4 linked regions of the Arabidopsis thaliana genome follow. The protein of the gene in region 1 interacts with the protein of each later gene in a pairwise test. Each region holds a gene or a part of one and is shown on either strand. Other genes may lie near its edges.

Region 1 (7,855 bases):
CACAAAATGGACATCTCTGAACTGCGGTCTGGCGAATCCGTAGACGATGAATCGGAGAATTACCTCTCGGATCTCGGTAAAGGCATTGGTTGCGTTGTTCAGACACGAGACGGTGGTTACTTAGTCTCTATGAACCCTTTCGACACGGTGGTCATGAGGAAAGACACTCCTAAGCTTGTTATGCAAATCTCCAAACAGATTGTGGTAAGGCCTGAATTAATATTTACATAATCAAAAGAATCCTACAACAACAGGAATCTGAAATCTTTATTACAGGTACTACCAGAAGCCGGACCAGCCACTGGATTCGAGCTATTTCATAGAATGGCGGGTTCGGGTGAGGAACTAGAGTCAAAGATATCTTCGCTTATGGCGATAGATGAGCTAATGGGGAAAACAGGGGAGCAAGTGGCTTTTGAAGGAATAGCGTCAGCGATTATACAAGGGAGGAACAAAGAGAGAGCTAACACGAGCGCAGCGCGAACTGTCGCAGCTGTTAAAACAATGGCTAACGCGATGAGCAGCGGAAGAAGGGAGAGAATAATGACCGGTATATGGAATGTGGAGGAGAATCCATTGACTTCGGCAGAGGAGGTTTTAGCCGTCTCTTTACAGAAACTAGAGGAAATGGTTGTTGAAGGACTTAAGATTCAAGCTGACATGGTGGATGATGAAGCTCCTTTCGAGGTTTCGGCTGCGAAAGGTCAGAAGAATCCACTTGAATCGACCATTCCGCTGGAAGAATGGCAAAAGGAGCATCGCACACAGCAAAAGCTAACGGTTTTGGCGACAGTACAGCTCCGTGACCCGACAAGGAGATATGAGGCTGTAGGAGGGACAGTTGTGGTAGCAGTACAAGCGGAAGAGGAGGAGGAGAAAGGGTTAAAGGTAGGAAGTTTGCACATTGGGGGAGTGAAGAAAGATGCGGCGGAGAAGCGGAGGCTTACCGCGGCGCAATGGCTTGTGGAACACGGAATGGGAAAGAAAGGGAAGAAGAAGAGTAATATAAAGAAGAAGGAGAAGGAAGAAGAAGAAGAGGAGATGTTGTGGAGCTTGTCATCTAGAGTAATGGCGGATATGTGGCTTAAATCTATAAGGAACCCTGATGTGAAATTGCATTAGTTGATCTTGGAGGTATTCATACTATACAATAAGATGCATTTGTTTATTTATGTTTTGTATATTATTTTTTAAGAGTTTCAAATTTTACCTGCAACAAACATTAGTCAAATGTCTTTTTACCAAATTTTTAAATTTCAGGAATTGGTTCAACTAATTTTCCCTAATGTTATGTATTGTTTTTTTCTGGTTTTCTTTTCTAAGAAAGTCTTTTATATATTAACTCTAAAGTGTACAAATGCATAAAAATTCTACCTTTCCAAAACTATTTTGTACAAAACTATAAATAGGACATGATAAACATGTAGAGAAAAAATCAACTCAAAAATTAAACCCACGTAAGGAATTTATATAATAAATAATAATTACATAGCTAAATCCTATTTTCCAAAAATTGTGTATAGACTATTAAGTAACCAAACTATTAGACTGTTAAATTTGGTCTATCCATAGATTAAAAGGAGAAGCCAATTATTCTCACTTTTCATTCTTTTTCCTCGCCTTCTTATGCCATTGTTCTAATGCTTTTGAAGTTTGCTCATCAAACACTGATCGCTTCATTGTGGATCCCATCTATAAAATATATATTGTAAAAGAATTATGCAATGATAAAACAACTAACTCTATGAAAACATTCAAAGGAAGAAAAAAAGATATATAAATGTTGCATACCTGAGTGACGAGAGCGTAAAGGGGCAATGTGATATAACTGCATAGGAATTGTACTCCCACCCTAAAGCCAAGACCATATATTCAATTTTCACAAACTCGATCGAAAACTTGGTAAAAAAAATTGTTTATGATAATACTATTACTCACCCTAGGCAGACACGAATGATTATAAGGCCAAAATGGTGATGAAAACAGGACCTTAGCCCAAACTCATACTGCAACAAGAATAATTATAACATTATTATAAAAATTTCTAGAAGCAATTAGTACCAACATAAAGTAAAAACTAGAAGAAGAGATTCTGAAAAGTTTACCCATATCCAAAAAAAATAAGTTATCTCAAAAGCATTCTGAAAAGTATCCAAAAAAATAAAATCAGTAATTATACTAAATCATAGGCTTAGGCATTCGGATTTCGGTTCGGATTCAGTTTGGATAATTCGGATGAGGGAGTTTGTTATCCGTTCGGATTATACGACTATTCGGTTCGGTTTTGGTTCGGATGGTGTCGGATTCGGATCACTAAAACATCACATATATCATTCACTTATATAAATTTTCACCTGAAACAGAACGAAGTGGATCATATGAAGTACTAGATCGGGTTTTTCAAACCAAAAATGTTGGTCTGAGACGTTGACAACTGGCATCCCTTGAATTACTGCATGTCTCTCTTGAATCTCCAATGCCATGTACGATATAATGGCTTGTAGCTTTGTTCCTATGGCTAGTGTTAACTTTAAACATAAACCACAATTAGTTCATAAAATGTTCTTTAATCTTTTTGAAGTAAGAATGAGCTTCGTATAGTAGATAAATTAATGACTTACTAGAGGAGGAATCATGGTGATTACGGCAGTAACATACCATCCTATAAAGTTTTTTGTTTTTATATATAGATCAATTATTAGTAAGTCAAGATATCATAATGTAGAAGTACGATAAACTAAAGACTAACCGTGAACATCGAAGAGTAAAAACAACATTACAAAGGCCCAAAGCTCGGGTCTGTCATCATCAGTGGTAGATTTCATTAGAAACAAATAAAGCAAACTAGACTAAAAATGTGAAAGAGGATATGAGTTACCTTATTCCTACAACCACCTTGAAGTCGTCTTCCAAAGATCTTTTGATGTACTTTTGAAAATCAAACTTCATACCAGGTGCCAAATGAACCTAAATACATAGGGTTTTAGAGCAACAAACAATTGGATATTAATGGAGAATTAATGTAAGATATTAATGCACTCACACTTATGAATCCATGTCGCATTGTCAAGTAATCAGACTTCCTCACTGATCTAAGTATTTGACGGAAGAAGCACATCTGAAAATTAACCTCTAGTTCCATTAGATTAGAGATGATAATTGTGCAAGAATAACACTTAGAATTTAAGAAAATCGTACAACGTAGAAGAAGAATTTATTGCTAGCCCAAGAATTGACATGTTCTCGGACAAATGATGTCTCATGTGTGAGTCTAAATCTTGATGGATCTGTATTAAAAAAATAAAAATAGCAAGGACAGTAAAATTTTGATTAGCTAGGACAGTAAAATTTTGATCACCATGCAAAATATAAAGTTCACTCTACCATTCATCATTTCTTGTTCATGGATGACCTCTTGCTCCCATACTTTCCAGCCACGAATCTATGTTTACGAAAAAACGAATTAGTTCAATTAAAATCATCATCAACACATATATACAATGTGAAAAATTTCTACCAATATACCTTGGCTCTTCCAAGCATCATGGTTATAGCACTATATATAACATGGAACACGGCCAAGAAGAATATGAATATATGCACTTGATGTAATGCGTTTAATGATATAAGTGCGACATAATCCTGAAACGATAACAAAATAATAAGTTAATAAAACTACTTAAAACTTTTATGCTGAAACAGTAGTTAATATTACTTTCTTGCAATTTACTGGAGGAGCGTCGGCCAAAGAACGACGTTGAACAGAGTAGAGAATACGCATTGCATGGTCTGTTTTCTTGAGCTTTTTACGATCATCTTCACTAGGTCCATCATATGGACCACAAAAAGACATTGCATGGCCGTATCTTGATGGAACACATATGCTCGCAATGTAGTTTTGGCCAAATGTTAGAAGCAGGGAAATAAATCCCAAAACCATAAGCTCTACAATATGTAACATAATTTTGAGTTAAATATATATATATAGGAACCAAAACTTTTCATGAAAATAATAGGGATACGATCCATCAGTTACATCCCTAACCATACGCTAACCACACGAAAAATTCCATCTTCACTACATAAAAGAAAAGATAGCACTCCAACCAGAAGACCAAAATAGATTGAAGACGAAGACGGTCAAAGAAAATAACAGATTGATTTATTCTGTTAGCGTGTGAGGCTTATCTATTACGGAAATCAACGTGTTTTTCACTTTTTTGATTACTTTGTTAAACTCATATATTGGTTGTGTGGTTTGTAGAGCTTCAATCTGTGTGCTCACTGATATATTTGTATTATCGTCTTTAAATTAATAAAGAAAATATATATATATATATATATATATATATATATATATATATGAACGAAAACAATTGTTCCTTGATTTCAAGAAACCAAAAAAAATAATTTCTATATTGTTACCATTTTTAATCTTCTCAAGAGCTTCAAACAAAGCTTTCTTCTTCTTTCGTTCGAAAACCTACAAGCATGGAATTAAGTGTAACCAAAAAAGTAGCAAATGCAAAGCATATATACATCCATAAGGTATAATGGTGTTCTCTATCAAATCACCTCGCCGACTTTGTGAATGATGAGTTCCAAAATAATGGAGATCAAGATGATAACACCACAAACTGTAGAAACGGCCCAAGTCGGGGTCTGGTCTAGCTGTCTTGGACCTTCGCCACCTCCTCCACCACCACCTCCAGCCATTACTTAAAACCGTGATGATTATCTTTTTATTTTTATTTTTTAGTATGTGTTTGGTATCAGAATTTCAATTTCAAAAGAGAAGAGACAATAAAAATGAAGTCAAAGAGATAGAGAGAATGAAAAGGAAAGGGATGATGTTGCCATTGACGAGCATGCGAAAATAGTAGATAAGAGTGTAGACAAATCCGGTGAGTTATTTTTTAAAAAATATTAATTTTGTTTTTTTTATCAATTTATTGTCTTCCCTATTTTACAGGTTTCCACATTATTTAAGTGGGAATGTATGGAGAAGAACGAGTACGGAATAATTGGTGGAGGAAATTTAGAAGAAAAAAAATGAGAGAATTAAAGAGACGTCGTTAGCAAACTACAATAGACATCATTAAGCAATTGGATTCTAGATATATAGTATTCGTTAGAATAATTAATAAATTAAACTAGCATGCAAAATTAAAAAGCATGTGCAATTAAAATGCTAGTAAGAAGAAAATAAACTGGACAAATCGTCTTTATGTACTACAAAGAATTGTTCCATTTCTTACTGCATAAAATGTAGAAAATAGTGGGAAAAGTGATACCATCGCCTAATTTATACTATTTTAATAGGATATAAGTAAAAAAATCTGTATCATATTACAGAAGACTCGCATCATATTAAAGAGAGACAATTTTTAGAGCTAGGCCCGAACAAAATATTCATTAGATCCGTTTCGACTCAGTTTTTTATTTGATTTGATTCAAAAATCCGAATATCCGTAAGATTTTCAAGCAAATCAAATAGGAAAATATAATATTCGTAAAAATCGATGCAAATAACAAATATTATCCGCTTTGATTCGTATTTTATATATATATATATATATATATATTAGAATATATAATTATGTATATATATAAATATCATAATATAGTTTGTATATTTATATATTTTTGGGTTTATATTTGTAACTTCAGTATTTTTCTTCTTTGGAAATCTTGTGTTTTTATGTTAAGATGTAAGTTTGATCATTTTTCTTTCATGTTAGTGGTATCTTAAACTATCAGGTTTTAGGTCATCTCCAACAACAGTTTCTCAATGAGTAACTGAAGATTAAAAAAATAAAAAGTAATGAAAAAGGTGGAAAGAGAAAGAGATACGTTTCTCATATGAGAAACCCACTTTAATACTTGTGTCTTTATGATTGGTCAGATTTTTTTATTTATAATTTAAAATTTAAATAAATGATTTATTTATTATTAACTGATTAAAAAATATAATTGAGAGACTCACACCATCTTTTTGCGTTGGAGATGCCCTTAGTTTTTAGAATTAGTTTGATGGTATTTTCTTGATCAGTGATATCAAAAATAGTTATGTTCTGTTTTTTGGAACTTATTTTGACATCATGTCAAACAATTTTTTTGAGAAAAATAATTAGATGTATCAAAGCGAATTTCCGCAAATATCACAAAAAAATCTGGATATTCGAATTTTTGGATATTCGGAAATTTTTGGATCAAAATAATTTTTGCCTAACCCGCAAATTAGCATATATTTGTTAGTTTTTTTTAGACATGACCAAAATTAAACCGTAACCGTATTTCGGGCCGTAACCGGACTATTTTCAAACTGTAACCGTATAAAACGGTTAATAACCGTAAGTGTTGACAATAAAAATGGAATAGTTACAGTTAAAAAAAATATACTAACTATACCCGTCAATAAAACGTAACCATATCAAACTCGTAGTTAAAAGTACGGTGAACCGTACGATTAACTACATAGATAACAACATAGTTAAAACCGTAAAAATACAATTTTAAATATTTGTAATACAAAAATATATATCAAATGTTCAGGAAAAGAATTTCAAAAAAGTAAATAATATCGCATATAAAAATAATCTAAAACATACTTTTCATTTTTAAAAGCAATAAAAAAGTCGAATAACCATAAACATATTTAACCGTAATCATTGTAACTGTAACCGTATTCAACCGTAATTGTATCTAAATATAACCATCTTAACCGTATATATAATGGTTAAGGTTACGATTAAAGAAACTTTATAACCGTAACAATGGTCATGCCTAGTTTTCTTATTTAATTGGGTTGTCGAGTTGTAGCCCCACACAATTTCCTTTTTCTTGCCTCAACCCCATCAATGTTGATACTTTATTTGTAACCTTGTAAGTTGTTAAACCCCTAAAATTTGAATTTCGAGTTATAAGAGCAACTCCAATGGTTTAGAACCAATTGGTTTTTAATTTTGAATCTTAGCCTTATTTTAAATTAAAATATTGCTTTTACTAAGTTAAGAAAAGTTAACAAAAACTTAACTAATTTCTACTCCAATGGTTAAGAGCTATTGGTTTCTTAAGAAACAAAAATTTAAATTATTCCAAAACAATGTCTTATAATACACGCAACTACACAAGATGTTTATAATACAATTCAAATCACCGAGGACTTCCAACTAGGCAACTACACAAGATGCTTGTTGACACTATCACAAATCCCTGCAAAATGATGTAAAGACATTACAAAGAGATTGGGGGACTTCCAAATATATGATTGTGGTGAATATGAATTAACAAGGATCACAAAACAATAAAAACATACTTCAGTTTATGTTTATTGTACCTTGCAAAGAATACTGACTAGTTTCTGTTACTAAGGTCACCAAGGGAACAATAATGATATGACAATGATCAACAAGGAAATTGAAATTAGACTAACCCTGTAAGAAGAGCTGTAGTACTATCAATCGCTAGAAGCATAACTTATAAACTTATAGGAGAAATACTTAAACAAAAAGGAAAATTCAAAGCTTGAATAAGTTAAAGAACGAAACTATTCACCTCCTTTTTCATTAACCAATAAAACATGTCATATCAAATTATATTTAAATTATATAATAAAGTAAAGCTATAATTACAAAACAGAAAAAAGGAAACAAAAGATAAATTACATTAACATTAACGTAATTAACGTCGTTAATCTAAACTATTAATAATATTCACACTTACACTAACTTTGTCTTCTCCTCTTTTTTTTATTTTTTTTTTATTTTGTTTATAATTAAATTTAGCAATTGTTTTAAAAAATAAGAAGTTTAATAAAAGGAAACAAAATCTGACATCTTCTCTTTTTTTTTCT
Region 2 (8,472 bases), on another chromosome or scaffold:
GGTCACACTTTGGACACTAGTTATGTCAAGTTTCTTAGGAATGATAGGGTCAGAAAAAACTTCTCCGTTAAATAGGATGTTGAATTCTCTGGTATCATTTGCCTGCAAGTCTTGGATCTCAGCAAAGTGTGCGTACAAGTAATATTGGTCCCTGGGACTTCCTGACTGGGACTTCCTGAAGGCCATTCAATCGTCAATGGTGCACTGGCATTAGTCGGTGTGGCAGCATTTCTTAGCGCATCTTTCGGTGGAGCATAATTGTTGGAATTGTTCACTTCAAGAGCGGTATAAATCTGGGTCCATCCCGTCCGAAAACTGGCTCCATATGATACCCATGTGCGATCATATACATCTTTCATGTAGCTGGGGGTGGGAAACAATGTTGTTTTAGTAGTAAAACAAAAAAAAATGATCATATTGATTGCCTTAAAACCTTATGTATGACCTTTTCTAAGTGTCAATGAAAACAACCCTTGTATTGAAACAGAGCAGAAAGAACAAACAATGATCAGTTGAAGTTAACTTACCGTAGATCAGATCCTGACTTGCTAAGATATGTTCGTGATAAAAGATTCAAGGAACCAGACTTAGTGATATAAGAACCATTTCCCATAATTCCAAAGCCGATATTAGCGGTATAGTTTCCCCAGTCTTAACAAGACAAATCTGCAAAGAGTTTGATGTTGGGATGTGTAAGATCTCTTCCGCTGTACCATTAACTTCTGTTTGCAAATCCACCGTGGCCCATAGATTAGGTCCAAGATACAGATCAAACTTTGGCTTAAGGTCAAAACCATCATAATTTCCATATACAAACCTAGCCACAATCAAATGTGTCCTGCCCTTCTCAACGTTTAGATTGTAGCAGTTCCTTATTCCATCTGGAAAATATCTCAGCGTACGGCTTAGCGTATCCCTGAGGATTTTCTCGGATTCGACCGTTTTTTCCACTACGTATGAACTTTTCATCCGAAGAGAACCGCAGTCCAGTGAAACTCTCTTCATAAGGAGACAGTTCATTCGCAGGGAGTCCGCAATCCAAACTGATGAATCCTGTTGGCAGACATTTATAAAGATTATTCTTTAAAACAATGCACTTCTGAGAACCAAAAAGTTTGTAAAAGAATGTGTTTAAAAGGGAAAAAAAAGGTTTCTGATACCTTGTTGGTCTTGAGCTCGAACAATATGAATGATGGAGACTAGCAGGAACAAAAGGCCAAGAGAATTCTTCATATAATCATCTTCTCTAACCTTCCAAGGAAAAATCAAGAAAACCATTTGGCTAGGAAGAAAATGTAAAAGCCGAAAGAAAGACTTTGCCAAGCCAAAAGAAATGAGTAAATGCATTTTCTATTCAACAAAATGAATAAGAAAAAGAGGACAGCAAAGTCCCAACATCACTATCATGAACTCAATCATGGAAGATATGGAGCAGACCCAGAAGCACGTTAAGCAATAAACTATCACATCAATTATATTTGACATAGCCTTAAGTGAATGGTGAGCCTAATAATTTCAGAGTACAGATAAATGTATGTTGAGAAATCACAATCCATAATCTGTTTCTTTAATTTTATATACTATTTGACAGTTTTAAATCAATACTCTTCCAACCATTTTACAAATATTTAACCAAAATCATTTGTTTGTTAATGATGGAACCACAAAGAGGTATACTCTTTTACGGTCAATGATTATTAGCATCCAAGCCACACATACAAAGAATGAAAACATCACTAAGCACACATAAAATAATGAAAACATCACCAAGTAACAGGGTATATGATCTTGGCATGTGGATGATCAAAGCAAACATGACCAATAGCCCAACTAATTAGCATGGTTGTGTTACCTGCAGCACATACTACCTTGCCCTCGGAAACAACTCTGTGTCAAAGCTCATGCTCACTTTAAGAGAATTCTGAGAGTCCATATTCATATTTTCCCTCAAGTTTTCAGAAACAAGACATTCTTTCAGTTCATTAGCAACTTGGGACATGTTTGGTCGGTTCACAGAAGAAGGATTCGCACACGACATTGCCAGTTCAAGAACTCTCCATACAGAACGAGATTCGTAATCCCCGTTCAGGTTTGGATCCATGATCTTAGTAATATCTCCTCGGGTAAGCTCAAATCCAACCCATTGTGATATGTGAGACTTTGAACGGGACTGGTCAATCACAGGTTGGTTTGTGATAATCTCCAATAACACAATTCCGAAGCTGTACACATCGCTCTTCTCACCCAGTCGAGTTGTCTGGTAATATCTGCACGGCAAAAGTACATGGTTATACTCTCTAACCAATATATAAAGTGCAAAATGACAACTCACTTTCAGCACATTGTAATGGTAACTAACGACACTTACTCAGGATCAAGGTATCCAGGAGTACCAGCAACCACAGTTGAAATATGTGTTTCACCTCCAATAGGGAAAGATCTCGAAAGGCCGAAATCGGCAAGCTTGGCCTTTAACTGTTCGTCCAGCAATATGTTTGTCGTTTTTATATCTCTATGTACAATTGGTGGTGTGCATCCAGAATGTAGATATTCCAATCCTATTCAAAGGAATGATTATTTGTTAGTCCACCAGAAGGAAAGTCATTTTAAGCTGCCAATATTGGCTAATAAGCTTACGAACCTAGTGCAGCCTCCAGAGCTATTCGTAGACGATTACCCCAGTTGATAAAGGACCCACCGCTTTTTCCTGAATACTTGATTCTTTAGATCCTTGGGAACGTTGAAACATATATACACTTTCGAATCATGAAGAAATTCAAGTTTACCAGATAGATGTTGTCTTAAGTCTCCCTTGGGCAAAAACTCATAGATGAGAGCCAAGTGATCTCTTTCATCGCAATATCCAACAAGACTCACCAAATTTGTATGGTGAACTCGTAGAAGAAGATCAACCTAATCATTCATGGGAAATAAAAGTAAGAGAAAGCGTTAGATGGTCATATTTTTAAGAAGATTATGCATACCTCTGCCTTAAAATGCTTATATCCTTGACTTGATGATTGAGAGAGAACTTTAACAGCCACCTGTTCAGAACCATTTATAGTACCATGACAAACAACACCGAATCCTCCTTCCCCTACAACTCTTTGAAAATTATTCGTCATTTTGATAACCTCTGAATAAGTAAACCTTCTCTTTTTCGTCTCGATTGATGGTTCAGGTGAATTATCATGAACCATTGGCATACTCAGTGGAGGTTGTAGAGCTATAGATAAGAAAGAAAAAAAGTAGGGTATGTAAGAATTCATCGATTTGTTGCAGTTTCTTGATTTGATGAGAGATCTCCTGCAAATTACCTCCCACAGTAGATGACTTTTTCTTACTGAGAACAAAAATAATAACCAACACAGCAACAATTATGGCCACAGAAGCAACTGATGCAACAATCACCACCGGGAATTTCTTCTTCGAGTTTTTTTCTGTGCAGGAACCAGAGAGACAAAGCCTTGGGTTGCCTTGAACTCTGCAAGAAAAAGAGTGTTGTTAAAAACATCAAATCACAAAAGGGCTGTGGAAAATAACTGTGGAATATTAAAAAGTACGTGGGAAGTTTCTTACAGTAATTCTAGTCCCTCTCTTCGAAGACCTTGAGGAAGGGGACCACTAAGATTGTTGCCGCTTAAGTTTCTATTAAAGAAGAGCAATCTTCATGCATACAGACACATGAACCAAAGGAGAACTGAAAGTAAACGAAAATATGCTGAGCAACTTACATGATCACCAACGATTTCATCTGGGCTAGAAATTCCGGCACCACTCCAGTTAGTGTGTTATTTGACAAGTCCCTAAAAGTTTATTTCCAAAATAAAGTAGAGCTCATTAGGTTTTCCTCCATCAACAAAACCAATATTAACTATGGCCATACTTACAGTTTTTCTAAATGTGTAAGGTTTTGAATTGCGGCCGCAATGATTCCAGTTAAACCGCTCGAAGACAAATTTCTGGTGATTCCAAAGCATGATAGTTAACTTATTTTGAAGATAAGTGTCAAAGTGTGCATGTTCATATCTTGGATCTTACGACTTACAAGGATAATACTCTTGGAGGTTTAGAAACATCTGTGTTGTTGCTACAGTTCAAACCATCCCACGCATACTTTTGAGGGACGCAAGGATCTCCTTGCCACCTGATTCTACTCAATTTATAGGCAGCTTCGATATTTTTAACAGCAACCACTGATGTAGAGCTCAAGGATGTGAGAATTAGCAGGTGAAGTTGATTTCTCTAGTTAAAAAAAAAAAACAGACTGTATCTGCATAACAATGAAGATAAGTAACATACCATCATTTTCATTTGTTTCCGACCGTGGAAATTGGATAACTGTGTAGATTTCAAGAGCGTTAAGTAGAGAAGGAAGAGTTGACCTCGAGGTTTTTATTAGCTGGTAAATGCAATTTTCTCCTTTGCATGTCACTGGAGAAAGATTATGGATAGTAGTCACCCCTAACTTTGGAGGGATGAAACCTTCTTCAACAACAGCTCCATCCCATAATATGTCAAATTCTCTGGTATCATTGGTCTGTAAATCTTGTATCTCAGAGAAGTGGCTGTACAAGTAATATTGGTCACCAGGATTGTCTGGTGGCCAACTGATTGTCAATGGCGCGCTGGCATTAGAAGGCGTGGCAGCCGCTGCAAGAGCCTTTTTTGGTGGTTCATAATTGTTATCATTGGTCACTTCGAGAGTGGTGAAAATTTGGGTCCAATCATCCACCATAAAGTAATTATGCCATCTGCGATCATAAATATCATCCGGGTACCTATGTGGAACAAAGGTTGTATTATCCTTGAATAAGTATAGGAATGTTAAAAATAAAGAGTATAGGAATATAGAATCCATCACTGTTAACCAAAAAAAAAACACTTACCGAAGAAAGCCATCTGTCTTGTTGAGATATATCCGAACGAAAAGATTCAAAGAACCATCTGTGAGATAAGAATTATTTCCTAATGGCCGTAATTCCAAGGCTGAGATCAAGGGTGTAGTTGTCCCTGTCTTAACAAGACAAACGTTCAAAGAGTTTGATGTTGGAGTGTGAAGGATCTCCTCCATTGTACCATTCACAAACTTTTGCAAATCTATAGTTGCCCACAGATTAGGTCCTAGATGCAGTTCAAATATCGGGTTAGAGTTACGACCATCGTAATTCCCATAAATGAACCTAGCCCTGATCAAATATTTCCTGTTCTTGTCAACACTCAAACTATAGCAGTTCCTTCTCTCCTCTGGAAAATACCTCAGCCTCGTGTACGGCTTAAGGTAGTCATTCTCCATACTCGCCTGGATTTTACCACTTTCACCAGTCTGGATGAATTCAGCATCAGACGAGAACCGTAGTCCGGTTACTGACTCAGTATAAGAAGACGGTTCAGTCATGGGTAACCCGCAATCCAAACTGATAAACTCTGTTAAGAGAGTGAAAAATCAAAAGCATCTCAGATACAAACATAACTAAGACTCGAATCAGTAAGAAGTAGTAGTGTAATATACATATAAACCATTAAGATTTAGGTACCTTGTTGATCCTGAGCTTGAACACAACCAATAATGGCAAAAGCTCCTAATAGCAGCAGCAAAAGCCAACAAGGACTATCCATAATTGCTTTTAGATATCAAAACCTTACCAATGCCAGAGTTTGAGAGAAACACAGCGTATAAATAGATAAACCCAAGAAACAGTCCAAGCCTCTGGCAACATGGCAAGATGTCCTGAGTCAGTGAAACGAATGAGTAAATGTGTTTTCTATTGCAACTTTACAATTACAAATTTGATTTGTCCCAAGAATGTCAGAATATATGCAACTTGTATTTAGAAAAAATAATATGCAACTTCTGTGTTTTTAAGAGAATATGTCAATAGAGGGTTTTACAGTCACCACTCTTTTAACGCATTAAAAAATGTTCACACAGAGAGAAAGCAAGAGATTTGACTTTCTAGTGGTCAGTGACTTTGATTGAATCATATCGGATAATTTATCACTAATTAATACACATTTTGACGTCTTCATCGACAAGAACAGCTTCTAATCACAAAGCAGAGGATTCACATTTATCAACAATGACTATTATCTAAAGAGAAGTGGGTCAACATGAAGAAACAAATTTCAAGACAAAGACGCCATTATCAGATATCTAAAATCATAAAGTTCAAATTTTTAAAGGATTTTCAGTTACATCATAAACTGAGAAATTACCTTCCGGCCATGAAACTGAGAGAATTTTGATTCCATCTCTTTGAGCCGGCCCAATAACTTTTGTGAGGAGGAGGACGAATGTGAGGAATCTCCGGAGATAAATCGGCCATATACGGCAGCGAAATCTCCCGTCGTGAGAAGGACGGCGATGACAATGAGACCTCTTCATCGGCGATTAGCACTGTTTGAGAACGCGATTGGCGATTTGGAGTGCTGGAGAGTAGCGTTTTAAACGCAACGGTATGTATATTTTTCAACGTTGCTATAATAACAGAAATAATTGTTATGGGCCAAACATGGGTTTTATCAGCCCATTAAACAGAAAATAATGAATTTGGAGTGCTGGAAACACGGTCGCTGGAGAGTAGCTTTTTTAAACGCAACGGTATGTATATTATTCAAGCTTACTTACAGAGTTTCTAGTTGCGTAAGATTTTGAATCGCAGCAGCCATGGTTCCAGTTAGACCACTTGAAGACAAGTTTCTGGTGACATGTCCAAAACCACATTCAAGTGTCACAACTACTAACGGATATTGAAGAGCGTCTGGTCAGAAATCGATATTCTTACGAAAAAATTACGGTCATTATTTTCGTCAGAAAATTGTGACCATTTTCATACAAAATTGTGACGTATTTATTTGGTCATAAAAACGTTACTATTTCGTTATAATATTATGACTTAATTGAATGTAACTAATGTTTGTCACTAATTATGTCAAATTTGTTACAAATTATATAGTCATAAATATAAGTACGGATTTGCGACCAAATATAGTAACTAAATTATACGATAATTGTGACTGAATTTATGTCATGTATAGTTACGAGAATTTTGTAACAACGATGACACAATTTGTCACTGTTTTAGTGACTTTTGCGTTTGGTCATAGATTGTGACATAAGTGTTACCAATTTTAATACAAAAATAAAAACTTGTGAACAAAAAATTAAATAAAAAAACTTCTTCAGTTTTGGAAACAATGTTTTTGATAATACAAAAAAAGCTGTAAAAAGTCCAAATGAAAAAAAAAATTATTCGGATTCGTCACTAGTTAATTCGATATCAGAATTTCCATCTTCAGCATCTGATCCATCTTCGGCTTCTACTACTGGATCATCAAGATCTTCTGGTTGGGCATCTAGATATGATAGTGTCTCGATTTGTAATGAATCAACTTCAACAATAGAATCATCGTTATCATGCTGCATTGCAGTGAAATCCAGATTTTTGTTATCAATACTTTCCCTCTCGGTTGTATCATAATTGCTGCTTCCCATTGTTGATCTTTTCTCGGCTGAGTCATCCGTGGATATGGAACATAACATACCTGATCTGCTTGTGAAGCCAAAACAAAAGGATCATACTCTTCATAATGCCTTTTAGCATTAATATCAATAATCCCTGACTTGTTTCTTCGTATACCTCTCCCAACTTTTGAATCATACCAATCACACTTGAAGACCACGACCTTGAGATCAACATGTCCAGGATAATGAAGCTCATAAATTTCTCTCAATATTCCATAGAAATCAGCTTCTTCATTTGAGCTAGAAGATGTTGTACCTTTGACACAAACTCCATAATTGGCATTCTTTTTGTTCTTTCCATGATCATATGTATGAAATATGTATCCACGACAAAAATACATTGGCCAACAAGTAACTTTAACCATTGGACCATGAACAATACTCAACAACCACTCTGGATATGAATTATCCTTCCAAGTATCCTCCACCTGATTCAATATAAAAAGACACATACTATATTATAAGCTATCAAGTATTTATCTCATATAAAAAAAAAATATCTTACATATTTTTTTAACCAGCTTGAATATTGCTTTTCTCTAAGCTCATTTAGATCTTTTTCACTTATCCCAGGATTAGCCGCGATCAAGCTCTCATCAAACAACCTATATATACATATATAACCATGAAAAATATTTACAATGTCTTTTACTAATTCTACAAAAAAAAACAAAATCCATACAGATGTCCAAATTATTTTGTCATACCTTTCAAATGGTCTTAATTGATCGCAGTTCCGCAAAATATATCTATGTGCGATATGGTAATCTTTATCTTGGAGCCATATCTCACTTTCTTTCCCACTGTCTCTTCCTGCCTGAGAAAATATATCTGGAACTCCATCAAACTCATGTGTATCTTCTTGATTACCACCATCATAGTGTCGATCTCCTGCTCGATTTTTTGTCTTGATGTGTCGATCAAAATAATAAGTACAAAAAGTAGAA
Region 3 (7,098 bases), on another chromosome or scaffold:
TTTAATAACTCTGTTCTCTTTTTGTTATTTTCAGGAAAATAAAGAACAGTACAGAGCGGAGGAGGTTAGGATTCTTCTCATGCGCCACCGGAAACCCAATAGACGACTGTTGGAGATGTGATCGGAATTGGCATCTCCGACGAAAGCGTCTCGCGAATTGCGCGATCGGATTCGGTCGTAACGCTATCGGAGGACGAGATGGTCGTTACTACGTAGTCACAGATCCATCTGACCACGACGCGGTTAATCCACGACCAGGAACACTCCGTCACGCTGTGATACAAGACCGTCCGTTATGGATCGTCTTCAAGCGAGACATGGTGATTACTCTAACTCAAGAGCTAATCATGAACAGCTTCAAAACAATCGATGGAAGAGGCGTGAACGTTGCAATCGCAGGCGGTGCTTGTATTACGATTCAGTATGTGACGAATATTATCATCCATGGGATTAATGTACATGATTGTAGAAGAACTGGTAATGCTATGGTTCGAAGCTCGCCGTCGCATTATGGGTGGAGGACTATGGCGGATGGTGATGCTATATCGATATTTGGATCGAGTCATATTTGGATTGATCATAACTCTTTGTCTAATTGTGCTGATGGTTTGATTGATGCTATTATGGGATCTACTGCTATTACTATCTCCAATAACTACATGACTCACCACAACGAGGTTAGCTTTCTTTGCTGATTCAGTGGAACTGATGATGAATTTGCTGCAGAATCACGTTTTTGGAGTGGATTTTGGTTGATTTAGTAGCTAAATTAGTTAGTATAGTGAACTGAATTGTGTAGGGTGTGTTAAAGAGTTGAGAAGAAGTTTCTTGATGGATAATGCAGGTTATGTTGATGGGGCATAGTGATTCGTACACTAGAGACAAGTTGATGCAAGTGACAATAGCATATAACCATTTTGGGGAAGGGCTTATACAGAGAATGCCGAGGTTCGTCATGCATTTCATGTTTTCTTTTCGATGATTGTTTGCTACAAGAATCAGGAGGGCTGATTCTTTTGTTGTTATTTCAGGTGTAGACATGGTTATTTCCATGTTGTAAACAATGATTATACTCATTGGGTAATGTATGCAATTGGTGGAAGTGCTAACCCTACTATCAATAGTCAAGGCAATCGTTTCCTTGCCCCGGGCAACCCTTTCGCCAAAGAGGTATACCTTAATTTCTCTCTTTCGGAGTAGGAGATATTGAGAAAGGATGAATCTCAATATTGTAATGGTTTTGGCAGGTGACAAAGAGGGTAGGTTCATGGCAAGGGGAATGGAAGCAATGGAACTGGAGATCTCAAGGAGACCTAATGCTCAACGGTGCCTACTTCACTAAATCTGGAGCTGCTGCTCCTGCAAGCTATGCCAGAGCCTCTAGCTTGGGAGCTAAACCAGCTTCTGTAGTAAGTATGCTTACCTACAGCTCCGGTGCCCTTAAATGCAGGATCGGTATGCGGTGTTAGTTAATTGTATAATCCTCAAACCCAAGACCGAAGAGGATACTGACTAGCTGAGGGAGACAAAGGAAGAAAACTAACTTGTTTTCTTCGTCCCCGTCATTTACATTTTCATCGTCTCCTTTCTTTTCTCTTTTACCATTTTAGACTCTTCTCTGCCTCCACTCGTCAACCTAGGCCAGCTTTGATGAGCCGCAGTGTTGTTCGACTCAACTCCAAAATTGTAGTACAGTGCATTCTTCTTCTGCCTCATTACTCATTTGGTGTATCATCATGTATCATATATTCTTCTATCAATATTAATACTTTGAACTGCTTCTGTTACACTTACACCATTTCTCATCAACAAATATAGATAAAATCAAATCAGAATGGTTTCTTGCCAAGGAAACAAATATAGCCAACTAAAGTGAGGAATTACAGAAGAAAAAAAAAGCTTGTAGAAGAACACAATTAGACTCAAAATGGAGTTTCGGCGTCGCTCCTGGTTTCGGTTGGGCTGTACAATGCGGATCTATTCCTCGGTCTGTTCTCTTCCAACTGCTTCACAACCTCTTCCATGCTGGGTCTAACTGTTGTAACAGGAGCACAACATCCCATCGCTAGCTTCAATGCATGAACCAAACCTTCTTCCATTGGGCTCCTAATCCCTTTCATTGCCTCCAAGTCGAAAACCTCCATTGTCGTCTCTTCCAACACCGCAGCTTTAACCAAAGAAGGCAAGTCCACAAACTCATTACCGTTCCTTCCACTCTTTCCTGGTTTCTTACCCATCAATATCTCCAAGAGAAGGATCCCAAAGGCGTAAACATCACTCCTTGGATTGCATTTCTTCATCTTGTGGAGTTCAGGTGCTTTGTACCCGTCGGATTTCGCCTGCGAGACAATCTCATCTGCTACTGCCTGTACCATTATCTTGTCAAGCCCAAACTCAGTTAGCCTTGCAAAGAAAAAGTCGTCCACAAGCACGTTCTTTGATCTAATATTTCCATGGATGATAGGAACTTCTTGTCCAGTATGAAGATAAGCAAGTCCCCTCGCTATTCCAAGTGCAATCTTGTGTCTCCTAGCCCAATTCAAAGCTGGCTTTCGAGGTTTACTTTCTGCACATCATTCAAACAACACATGAATAACAAAAATCAACCAAGAAAGATCCATGGCAAAAAAGATTGATGATGAAAGAAAATACCATGCAACAAATCATGTAAGCTTATGTTGGGAAGATAGTCATAGATGAGAAGCTTTTCTCCTCTCTTCCCTTGATAGAAAGCTCTCAAGGGAACCAAATTCTCATGCCGAATGCGTCCTAACTGCCTTATAACAGGCAGACAAGAACTTCTATCCTTGCAAGTACCTTCTCTCAATAGCCTCAATGCAATATTCCCTCCATCACTAAGCTTAGCTTTATAGACAGTACCATAGCTAGTCTTCTCCATAACTTGCCCAGTAGCATTCAAAACATCATCCAACGTCAGATTCTCACCACCTTGAAACACAACTAACTTTCCTTCACCGCCTTCTTTCTCACCGATTTCATCTTCTTCATCACCTTCTTCCAAATCATCTTCACTCTCTATACTACTCTTTCTTTTCTTGTTCTGCAAATACCCTATTAACAACGAGGCCACAACAACAGCTCCAGACATTAAACCAATCACCAGACCAGCAACAGCACCTGGACTTAACCTAGAGGAGCCTAGACAAGGCTTCAAAGGCAAACCACAAAGGCTAGGACTGTTCCCTTCGAAAGATTCTGCTCCAAACTTTGACTCACCAAAATCTGGCAACATCCCACTGAAGTTATTATGAGAAAGATTGAGACTTTCTAGCTCTAATACACCTAAACCCTCAGGAACAAGACCTTCAAAGACATTACTTGAAAGATCAAGTGACTTCACACCTTTAAACCTAGTTATAAACTCAGGAAACTCACCTGAGAACTTATTACCACCCAAATCAAGAACTTGGAGATTACCACAAGTCGAATTTGGCAAAGCAGGCTCAGGCAAAACCCCAGACAAGTTATTACCATGAATCTTGAAAGAGACAAGCTTATCACAGAGGTTCCAAATCGATGGAGGCAAAACCCCAGCTAAGGCATTACCACTCAAATCAACATCAGAGAGAGAAGAAGTGTAACCAAGCTCAAGAGGGATTGACCCACTTAATGAATTGATGTTGAGGAACACACTTTGAAGCATAGAGAACTCACCAATCTCTCTAGGGAGTGAACCAGTGAGATTAGCAGAAGGAAGCTGAAGAGAGAGAAGGTGAAGAGAAGAGTCGTTGAACAGAGAGGTATTAGTCCATTGTGGTGAAGAGAGGTCACTACATTGAAGAGGAGACCCATTTGAAAATACCCATTTTACACCTCTCCATTGACAAACAGGAACAGAGGAGTTCCAAGAAGACAACAGTAAGCTCTCACTGTTTCCTTGTAGTGAAGACTTGATTTTTCCTAAAAGAAGCTTCACATCAGAAGAACCAGAGAGAGATGTTCCACAATGACAGTGAAGAATTAGCACAAAGAAGAAGATAACATGAAGAAATCTCAAAGCTTCCATGCCCATTTCTCACAAAGAGACAGAGAAAGAGAAAGAGAGGTTAGAGAAGGGAAAGGTAAGGACTTTGAGTTTCAAGACTGGTCCTTTGTAGCAGAAAGAGAGTGTTGACTACTTTGTAAACACTTTAGTCAAACATCTCAACGGCTATGATTTAAACTCAAACCGTATTGATTATTAACCGTCCGATATAACCAAAAGTTGGAATCTTTATAATCAGAAAGTGTAAACCGGATTGATTGCTTACCGTCCGATCAAGTGTGGCTTAAAGCGATGGACAAGAATGGTATAAATCTACTGATTACTCCTGAATTTATAAAGTTACTTTTCTTTATAACTTTAATTGATTAAACTATAAGCACGCTCAAAGTTCGAATTAAGACTTTTTCTTCTGCCAAAATAATAAAATGATGTTTTTTTATCAAGGTAAATGTTTTTGTGTAATTTGGTTCATGGGATGTTTCATGCTCCTTGAATCTTGACCGTAGATGAGTCATTGGAGACATGAGATGAGTGAATCAACGGTGGATGATGGAGAAGGTGGAGAAATCTTAGATAGTTTTGGTTTCTCTAGAAGACAATTTGTTGGAAGTACACAGAAAATGAAGAGCCAATATTTTGAAAAATGGGAAATGTGAATATCTAAGTGAGATGAAGTTATGTTGTCTATGTCCTTTTGTGTATTGTCTATTTCGAAATTTCAGGGGTGTCAATCGAGTAGACCGGTCAGGTGTCCGAAACATATTTTGGATTTGGATTTTGACATCAAACAAGATTGAGTAATTTGTTTTATTGTTGGATCAAACACGCTCAATTTTTTTTGCGTAGTATTTTTTGGCATAGAAAAATAGAAGGCTTGAATGGTAGTAGTTTATACTTTATAGCATAGTTATTGGTTTTCCAAAAACCCATTTAATTATCCAATCAAGATTAGAGTTCGCATTTTTGTAAACAAAATGAAAAATAAATCCCACTTTAATGAGTTTTTGATAATTGTTTGCAGATTTCTTTTTGTAATTTTAAATCAATATTTTTTCCTTTTGGCAAAATCTATAATCCAAAACCACTTAAAAACTCAAATATTCATGGCCAAAAGTTGTTTTCTTAAACCTAAGCATATATAGATAGGAAAACAATTTCTAATATACTGTATTTTACAATGGACTAGTAAAAGTTTATGAATGATGTGAAAACAATTAGATATACTGAGTCACAGCAGACTAAAAAAAAATTTTTTTGTTGAAATAGATATCAAGTTTGGCTTTTAGTAATATAGAAGTGTCTGAATTTGGTTAAAAAATAATCATAGATAAAGAAATTTATAAAAGGCATCTGATGGTTACTTTGATTCTAATTGACACTTTTGTTCCAAACATTTGTTACAAGTCGGGAAAATTATTTATTGTTGTATACCTCTAAGGTGGCTACACCATTTCGAAATTCAATCCTTTTGGAAAATGAAAAAAATATCTATACATTTTTTTTTTTTGAACAACAAAAAATATCTATACATGTCGATCATATATTCATATGTAGAAAAAGGCATATATTGATGATAATAAGACCACATAATTAGAGCAATATATGTTCTCCAGATATAAATCTCATGCAACTTTATAGAAGAAGAAGTTAGAAACATGAGGAGTCCTTGATTAGATTACTGAGACAACTATGTATGTCACGTCTTTATCAACATCTGAAACTATTCAACTACCACGCTGCTCCTTTTGTAATCAACTTCACTTTCATAAGATCAGATTATTTCATCAACTCCACTTTCTTTTTTGTTTCTCATAGTCTCATTATAAGTCTTTTGTTTTCAAGTTGTCAACCGTCTCACGGCTTTCTAGTAGGGCCTGAATGGAGAAAGGTGTGGTGTGGATATTTGGCACGGGTCAGATCATTGTTTTTTTGAATATCTCAATTCCTTAGGTGCGGTCCAGTTTTTGGGTTTAACCAAAAATAAGAAAGAATAATGATGTATCACAAACAACACACTTATATGAGGAAAATTATAATCCTACCTCACTTGTTTTTTTCCTCCAAAGATTTTCGTTACTCAATAATACAAAGGGTTCAAGCTAACTAGATAAACAAGAAAATGATAGAATCAAAGTGGTAAGGAACAACTCTTCTTAAAATGTCCATATGTAAACATTCTATTTACAAATATTTACAATGTGAATATGTGAATGATATGGATAATTTTGTACATATGTCCATATGTACATTAATTATCATTTTGTACATTAATTATCATTAATTATCATTTTTACTATCATTAAATTGTCCATATGTCCATATTTACAAATAATTTTGTACATTGATAATGATAATTAATGTACAAAATTAATTATCTCAATTCCTTCTTAAATTGTCCATATGTCCATATTTACAAATAATTTTGTACATTAATTATCATTTTTATTATCATTATCAATGTTTGTGTAAAAATATTGTATCATTCAACTCTTCTTAAAACATTCACATTATAAACGATATGTAAGCTCGACTCAAGAAATGAGCCACATATGTAATATTAACCAATTACAACAACAAAAGAACTATATAATCATCTCTCCAGAAATATAACACAAACACCATTTCCAGAATTAATCATCTCTACAATATCCTGAAGGTAAAAAGAGTAAAGAGTTATAAAAGAACCGACTCGACAAGAAAAAGCAAAAAATGGAGTAAAAACCCGGACCCCGACCAAACAGCTTTAATCATGACCCTCCATTTGTCTTCAAGATCCCATGCATGCACGAGAAGTGGCACACTCGGGTACGCTGCCATTTTTTCCTTTTGCCCTCTTTCTTATTTGGTACATAATAATATTTATATTGTTTCTTTTTGTCTCTGTTTTTCATTTAACAGTTTGAGAAGTTGGTGAAGCGACCACCACATTCGCCGACGGAGAGTTATTGTTTATGTTCCTTTGCGACTTGTTTTGTCTCTTCGTAGCTGCTGACGACGGTGGGGCCTCCGGCTTTTGTCCGCTCGGTTGTCTTACTTTAACCCCTCGTATCAACTGTCATAATATTATTCTCAATTAATTATGACAAGATAAA
Region 4 (6,551 bases), on another chromosome or scaffold:
TTTATTTTTGAAGACAAAAGAAAGTGAATGCAAAAAGTACACGTCGATACATCGACGGTTCATTACGTTTAGAATACTATTGCTATATAATAACTACATGTGCGTTGATATCTTGGTGCATGTTTGGCTTATTTTGACGATTTCAATATCTCGTGACACTTAAGACAATAATTGTATTCATCATGACAGCTTGTAAAACGTATCTTAAGCCCATATGTCTAGGTCCAACCCAATCCATGATCGCAGAGAAGGCGATAACCAAAATTCAGTTTAAACTGATCTTAGAAGTTTTTTTTTTTTGTCGACTGAAATACATACACATATATCAAAATGGTTCGGTAATCCAAATCGATGGTGTATATAGAACTATAGGTCTTACATACTTAAAATAATGAAAATGTAGTGGTGAACAACATGCTAGCTAACAAGTTAGCAAGACAATTCTAATTACAAGAATAACAGAAAGCCAGAAGAGAGCAAATATTTGAGTCTTGCAAACCATTCCAAATATGTTGAGAAAATTGGCTAAAATGTTCAGGAAGTTGTCAATTTTCTTTTAGCTTTGAACAGTCCATTGAGATAGTTACCGATGTACTTTGATGCTTGATCATAGGAGAAAGGCTTATGCATAGATTCCTAACTCTAAAAAGAGATCCTTCTATGTCGTTATGAAAACCGATCCAACCTATATTTGAAAACATATCGAGTCTCCTTCCATCAACTATCTATAAAATCTTCACATGTTTACCAAAAAAAATGAACTATTTTATAAAACATTAATTTGTGACTTCAAACTCCAGTTTTTGTAATAAAGACCGTTGTTCAAAGGTACTTGTCTTATGTTCTTGCAGCTGTGCAGTTTCTCAAATGTATCATTAAAAACCTTATCATTACGTGCCTTCCAATGTATCAAATAATCCATGGAAAGGTTAAATCTTTTGAAGAGCCAGGTTGTTCCAAGAAAAGAATATCCAAATTTGCAAATACCGACGACACCGAAATTTCCATAGTGCTGAGGAGATCGAGCGCACATATCTGCAATGCAAGGAACACTCAGAAGAACGTGGTCAACTGTCTTCTTTGCCCCAATTCTTAAACATCGAGGATCACAATTGAATACTCTATTTCCCAATTGATATGGATTTAGTGACCAACTTAAAAACTTCCTATAGTAGTAACCAAAAGGATGAAGAGAATTTACAAAAAAAGGATCAGGTTTAATGTTTTAGTTTCCAGATTAATCATGCAGATTCACAAACCACAAGTATGAACTCGACTACATTGTAATCATGCAATGCAACGCCTTCTGATATGCAGTTTATAAAACATTTTTTTCTTATCATTAATCAGCAATCTTTATTTTTTGGGAAAGTAAAACAAGATTATCATTGACACTTCAACATTAGAGATTCTACAATCCTTTTCATAAAACTGGTCTCTATGACAAATCAGAGCAAATCTTGGAAATGGGCTCTACTCCTCCTTCTTCAACACAGTCTCAGCAGGAGCATCATCACTCTTATCAACAACGGTCTTCCCAGGCGTTGTGGTTACATGAGCATCTTGCTCAACATTCTCTGTGGGTTCAGAGACAGATGCGGTTTCAGGTTCTGAACCAGCCACTTTGACAGTACCAACCTTAGCATACTTGCTCATGAACTTGTACTCCCAATCTTGAAGAGCATCTAGCTCAAAGGGACCAAGACCAGAGACATCCCAAGTCAAGTCTTTCTCCTCAAATGACATCTTTGCAAGAGCTCGGCTAGCGTCTTTCCCTGCAAACAAAGCATATGGTCCTCCTGGTCCGTAGAACATCCTACAAAACCAATAAATATCAAACCTTTCATCACAAACACAACATTTAATTTAAATACGCAAAAACCAGACTAGACTATCATAAGAAGATGATCAATTCATTATACTCAAAGATTAACAAAGAGTTTTCACTAAAGATCTCAACCACAAGCAGACATTAACAACAAGAACATATTACAACTTCCTTTGAATCCTGTTCTTGTATGAAGGAAGCAAAAGGGTAAATTAACACTATGCCACTCAAAAGCTCGATTACATAGAAAAGCACAACTTTTGTGAAATTGATTCTCAAAGTGAACAACTTTATGGATATCACAGCTTCATAGATAAAACTATGCAAAGTCCAAGTTGTTATAGAGTAAAACGAGATTTGAGGAAGACAATAAAAATCCAACCTTTCATTACAAACACAACACTTGAGACACTAAAACCAGTCTAAGAGATTGATTATACTCGAAGATAGAGCTAAGATATTTCACAACATGATCTCAATCACTAGCAAACATCAACAACAAAAACATATTCCTTTGAATCTTTCTCTTGTATAAAAGTAACAAAAAGGATCAACTTTTCCAATGTGCTTTTCTGAAATTGATTCTCAAAACAAAACTCCTTTGTGAAATTGATTCTCAAAGTGAACAACTTTACGATTCTCACAGCTTTATAGATCATAAAAGTATGCAAAGTCCAAGTCTTTATACGCTAAAACAAGATTAGAGGAAACAATGAATCAAACCCATAACCTAATTTCGCTTTTTAGATTCAGAAATTTCACCTGCTTTGTGTAACATCATAGATCTGATGTTTGATAGCCATAAGAAGGGGCTTTTGAGGATCAGAGCCATCGTACTGTTTAAGCTCCTCCTCCGTGATCTCACCGACTTGAACAGGCTGAGGAATCGGTGGCTCCTCCTCTTGAGCCAAGGATCTAGCTCTCTGATGTCGGTTAACATCATCGAACGGCGAGGCAAACCAGCCTGAGATGACTTGGTAAATGGCGAAGGCGAGAGCTAGAGCAGTGAAGAAGACAACAGGAGAAAGACCTGTGTAAGCATGGATTGCTTCTTTGAGAGTTTGCCATAGTTCTAACGCCATGGCTTTGAAGAGAGGATTCTCAAGATCAGTAGTGTGTTGAAAAGGCTTGTCTTTGTAAAAGTCAGGCTTTTGTGCTAGATAGAGAGTTGTTGGGTTTTGACTCTTGTTGTTGTACTACTTCCTTGGTTGATTGATTTTTTTCTTTCTTGGGTTTAAAAGTTAAATACAGCTAAAACGACCGAATAAGATTTTTTATATAGTTATTAGGGAACTAATCTTTATTTTTACCATACAATTTTTAAATAAAAAGTTATTTTCTTCTATAAGTAAAATACAAATGATAATGTAGTACATGGGATTGTGTTAGTGTTTTTGATATGTCAAAATTCGGGTTTCAAGTCTCTGCCGTAAAATAGATAGATTTTCGACGAAATAGAAAAGACATCAAGCTTAGATATGTAAATGGCTAGAATATAGTTAAGAAAAAAGCAGTAGAGTATTTTCTGAAAATCTTTGATGTTCAATTCAGTTATTTTCATCATGAAATTTGATAAAAAAAACTAAAAAGAATCATAACCTCGAAAAGAAAAATAAGTTTTAAGAAAAATAAGTTTCGTGGATGCAGAATTTAAAAAGAAAAAATCAACCACTTTTCAGATTTTAAAACACATTTTATAACATTGATATAACCTTCAATCCAAATAATTTATTAATACATAAACTTTTTTAAAAATCAAAGTTTCAATAATTAAATCACTAGAAATAGAATAAAATCATACTTCTAAATCTTTTAAACATGATATACAAATACCAAATTTAATAACATAAATTTAAACAAAAAGTAATTAAAACTATATATTAAGTAAAAATAAATTATATTTAATTCAGATTTATGAAAATTCATAATTGACTATATTAGTATTTTTCACTTTTCTTCTCATGATAAATCTTCCAATCCTAACATTTACAATAATAACATTTTTTTTTTCTTTTGGGTCAAAAAATGATAACAAAGTCTTAAATGTTTCCCAAAAAATATCATCATAAATAGATTTGCAATTAGATTTTATAACCAAATCAAGCAAATGTTTTTTAATATACAGTGTAAGTTTTTTTAAAATTGGGACAATAACAATGGAAGTAAACAACAAACAGTACAAGAGAATAAAATGGAGAAAATGAGCTAAATTGCAATCAGAGAAGAGAAGCGTTGGGCCAGAAGACTCGCGTGCTGGTGGACTGAGTTTTCTTGAACCTCTCAAATCGGGGAATCTCCATTGAAACTCCTCCACACTACACGTGTAAACCCTTTCTTCTTCTTCCCCATTAAATCCTACTATTTTTCTTATTTACCTTAGTGGAGACAGAACCAAATCACACAATCAGACAAAATAAAAAGGTTCCTTCTTTATAACTTCCGACGGTGTCCATTATCTGAATCCGACAATTCTTGATGGGTTTTGGCGTTTTGAGTTGATAAACCATTCTGAGTTGTGAATCAGGGATACAAGAGAGAGAGGAAAGTGGTTTTACGGTGACCGGAGAGATGAACGGAGAAGGGATCTCTGATGGTTTGTCGGCTGAGAGGAAAGTGGAAATTAGAGTGAGGAAGAATGGGAGAAAGGATAAGGTGATTTATGAGTTTTAAACCCTTTTCTTAATTTTGATTGTCTTTTGCATGTTTGGTTCTTGTTAGCTCCTTTTGTGGAAATTGTAGTTATCTTTATTGAAGTGCCAAATACTTTGATTCACTCTTAGTTTCTGATTGTATGATTTTGTAATGATGGAAAAAGGTGAAGTCTTTTGTGACGTTTGAGTGATTTTCTCTTGCATGCAATGCTTAGCTTTTAGGGAAAGATGACATGTGATCAAAAGAGAAGAGGTCTAGTTGATTAAGTGTCTGAAAATGGTCTTGACCTGACTTTTTGTTTTGTTATAGATGATGTAGTTTGATCAAAGCTTTGTTATGTAGCTACATTTTGAACTCAATTGATTTTACTTGGTTCCACTGTGGCTTAGAAAGCTCTTATTACTTGTGTGCATGATTGGAGATGTTTATTTTTTTTAAGTTTTTCTTGAATTTTTAAAAGTTTGTCTCTTAGTTTACTTCGTGTGAAAAGGAATTATATGGTTACTTTACTGAGATGGTTAGACATTAAGAGTAATAGATCTTGTGAAAATGAATTTGGATTGTTAAGTAACCATCTTCGAGAGAATACTGTAATATTCGTAAGCACTAAAACTTTGTACCTCTCGCGTATGCAAAGGGAAAGTTTTGAGATGAATCACATTTATATTGGCAAGGGTCTGGTATTAGGTTGTTCATGGAAAGTTCATAAGCACAGAATATCTGAGAGTTTTGTGTTGTTTATATGTTTGAAGACAATGTTACTTTGTTCTTTGTGATCCCTAAAAAGATTTGACATTTATACGTCTCTTAAAATGAAAAACTCTTTATGTTTAAGTGATACAGGTTATAGTTGAGAAATCTGCTGCTCAAGGTTTACCTGAAGGATGGATCAAGAAACTTGAAATAACAAATAGATCAGGCCGTAAAACCAGAAGAGATCCAGTTTGTACCCTCTACTCTCTTTGTGATAACATCATCTTTGATCAAAAGTACATTTTGTGTCTTTTCCACATAAGCTCACTTTAGAAAATCTCTTATGTGATTCTTCTTGGACATGTCTTGTTTTTGATTTTGCAGTTCTTCATTGACCCTAAAAGTGAGTATATCTTTCAATCCTTCAAAGACGCATCACGGTATGTTGAGACTGGCAATATTGGACATTATGCACGTAAATTGAAAGAAAGTGATATCGAAGATGATGATTCCGGAAATGGAAAGACTGTTGTGAGTTCCTTTCTCCTTTTTTGTTATAGTTAGTTTAATGGAAAGCACTATAGCTGAATGATTGAATTTTCTGTTAATCTTTTAACTCTTAACTTTTCTCTGTCTGATTTTAGCTTCGTCTGGAGTATGTGGACAAGAGATCTGCAGATGATGTATTGGAAAAAGAGAAAACGATAGATGATGTCAGAAGAAGTAAACGGAGAAACTTATCTTCTTCTGATGAACATTCCAAGAATTGTAAGTACAAAGTCTTTTGGGTTCTGATTTTGCCACTTGCCAGGGTATAATCATACTTATGCCGTGAGTTACGTTAAGTAAGTGTCAACATTCGATTATATATGCAGGTAAAATGACTTCTGACTTGAGCATTGTAACCTCACAAGTTCTTGAGGATTTGGGGAAGAAGGAAGAGGTGAAAGATCCTATCGAAAAGCAGCTCATAGCGAAACGGGTTACTAGAAGCCAAACTAAAGCCAGTACGACTGAGGAAGTCGTCGTAGATTTAAAAAGAAATCTGTCTTCATCAAATGCAAAATCAGAAAAAGGTGTGCAGATACCTGACTTAATATTTCCACCTGAGTAGTGGCTGAGATAACAAAAAGATTTGAGGACACCAATTTTTTCTATGTTCTCTATATTTGTAGATTCTGTAAACTCCAGTGTAAGGTCACAAAAACCAAAGAAGGAAGCTGTTATGAAGGAAGAAGAGGAACAAGATTCTTCTGAGAAACGGATCACAAGGAGTAAAGTTGAAGAGAAGAAGAATGAGCTAAGTAATAGTGTAGCCCGACGAACATCAAAACGGTTAGCTGGTATTGAGCTTGAACCAACGCCTGAACTGAAGACA

The links.
Region 2: the proteins of MLO9 (region 1) and AT5G59650 interact in a protein complementation assay, tested with the Arabidopsis thaliana proteins (one large-scale study listed by BioGRID).
Region 3: the proteins of MLO9 (region 1) and TMKL1 interact in a protein complementation assay, tested with the Arabidopsis thaliana proteins (one large-scale study listed by BioGRID).
Region 4: the proteins of MLO9 (region 1) and MSBP1 interact in a protein complementation assay, tested with the Arabidopsis thaliana proteins (one large-scale study listed by BioGRID).

The regions. Positions count from the first base shown.
Region 1 is NC_003070.9:15,978,613-15,986,467, forward strand, and holds MLO9 (Seven transmembrane MLO family protein), read right to left. Parts: upstream 4,960-7,855; 5' UTR 4,717-4,959; coding exon 4,576-4,716; intron 4,484-4,575; coding exon 4,426-4,483; intron 3,946-4,425; coding exon 3,716-3,945; intron 3,643-3,715; coding exon 3,526-3,642; intron 3,443-3,525; coding exon 3,385-3,442; intron 3,288-3,384; coding exon 3,199-3,287; intron 3,119-3,198; coding exon 3,044-3,118; intron 2,968-3,043; coding exon 2,879-2,967; intron 2,800-2,878; coding exon 2,750-2,799; intron 2,663-2,749; coding exon 2,622-2,662; intron 2,529-2,621; coding exon 2,355-2,528; coding exon of another isoform or gene 2,331-2,354; exon of another isoform or gene 2,290-2,330; intron 2,142-2,289; coding exon 2,106-2,141; intron 2,007-2,105; coding exon 1,939-2,006; intron 1,853-1,938; coding exon 1,792-1,852; intron 1,693-1,791; coding exon 1,597-1,692; 3' UTR 1,523-1,596; downstream 1-1,522. Other genes in the region: PMI1 (plastid movement impaired1), read left to right, coding at 1-204, 277-1,122.
Region 2 is NC_003076.8:24,028,493-24,036,964, reverse strand, and holds AT5G59650 (Leucine-rich repeat protein kinase family protein), read right to left. Parts: upstream 5,620-8,472; coding exon 5,538-5,619; intron 5,428-5,537; coding exon 4,890-5,427; intron 4,782-4,889; coding exon 4,326-4,781; coding exon of another isoform or gene 4,303-4,325; intron 4,244-4,302; coding exon 4,049-4,243; intron 3,963-4,048; coding exon 3,891-3,962; intron 3,807-3,890; coding exon 3,735-3,806; intron 3,649-3,734; coding exon 3,580-3,648; intron 3,485-3,579; coding exon 3,318-3,484; intron 3,227-3,317; coding exon 2,985-3,226; intron 2,914-2,984; coding exon 2,787-2,913; intron 2,708-2,786; coding exon 2,642-2,707; intron 2,559-2,641; coding exon 2,369-2,558; intron 2,268-2,368; coding exon 1,865-2,267; downstream 1-1,864. Other genes in the region: AT5G59660 (Leucine-rich repeat protein kinase family protein), read right to left, coding at 1-59, 137-363, 528-651, 714-817, 903-1,053, 1,161-1,278. UniProt on the Arabidopsis thaliana protein: Required for accurate photosynthesis.
Region 3 is NC_003074.8:9,000,576-9,007,673, reverse strand, and holds TMKL1 (transmembrane kinase-like 1), read right to left. Parts: upstream 4,106-7,098; 5' UTR 4,034-4,105; coding exon 2,653-4,033; intron 2,567-2,652; coding exon 1,923-2,566; 3' UTR 1,731-1,922; downstream 1-1,730. Other genes in the region: AT3G24670 (Pectin lyase-like superfamily protein), read left to right, coding at 35-677, 845-948, 1,032-1,170, 1,248-1,469; ABI3 (AP2/B3-like transcriptional factor family protein), read right to left, coding at 6,894-7,058. UniProt on the Arabidopsis thaliana protein: Does not seem to have conserved a kinase activity.
Region 4 is NC_003076.8:21,209,480-21,216,030, reverse strand, and holds MSBP1 (membrane steroid binding protein 1), read right to left. Parts: upstream 3,092-6,551; 5' UTR 2,911-3,091; coding exon 2,591-2,910; intron 1,817-2,590; coding exon 1,474-1,816; 3' UTR 1,420-1,473; coding exon of another isoform or gene 1,412-1,419; 3' UTR 1,189-1,411; downstream 1-1,188. Other genes in the region: MBD13 (methyl-CPG-binding domain protein 13), read left to right, coding at 4,397-4,480, 5,324-5,422, 5,558-5,704, 5,818-5,941, 6,049-6,249, 6,349-6,551. UniProt on the Arabidopsis thaliana protein: MSBP1 can bind to multiple steroid compounds with different affinities. Negatively regulates cell elongation and brassinosteroid signaling. May act as a coreceptor with BAK1 and enhances its endocytosis.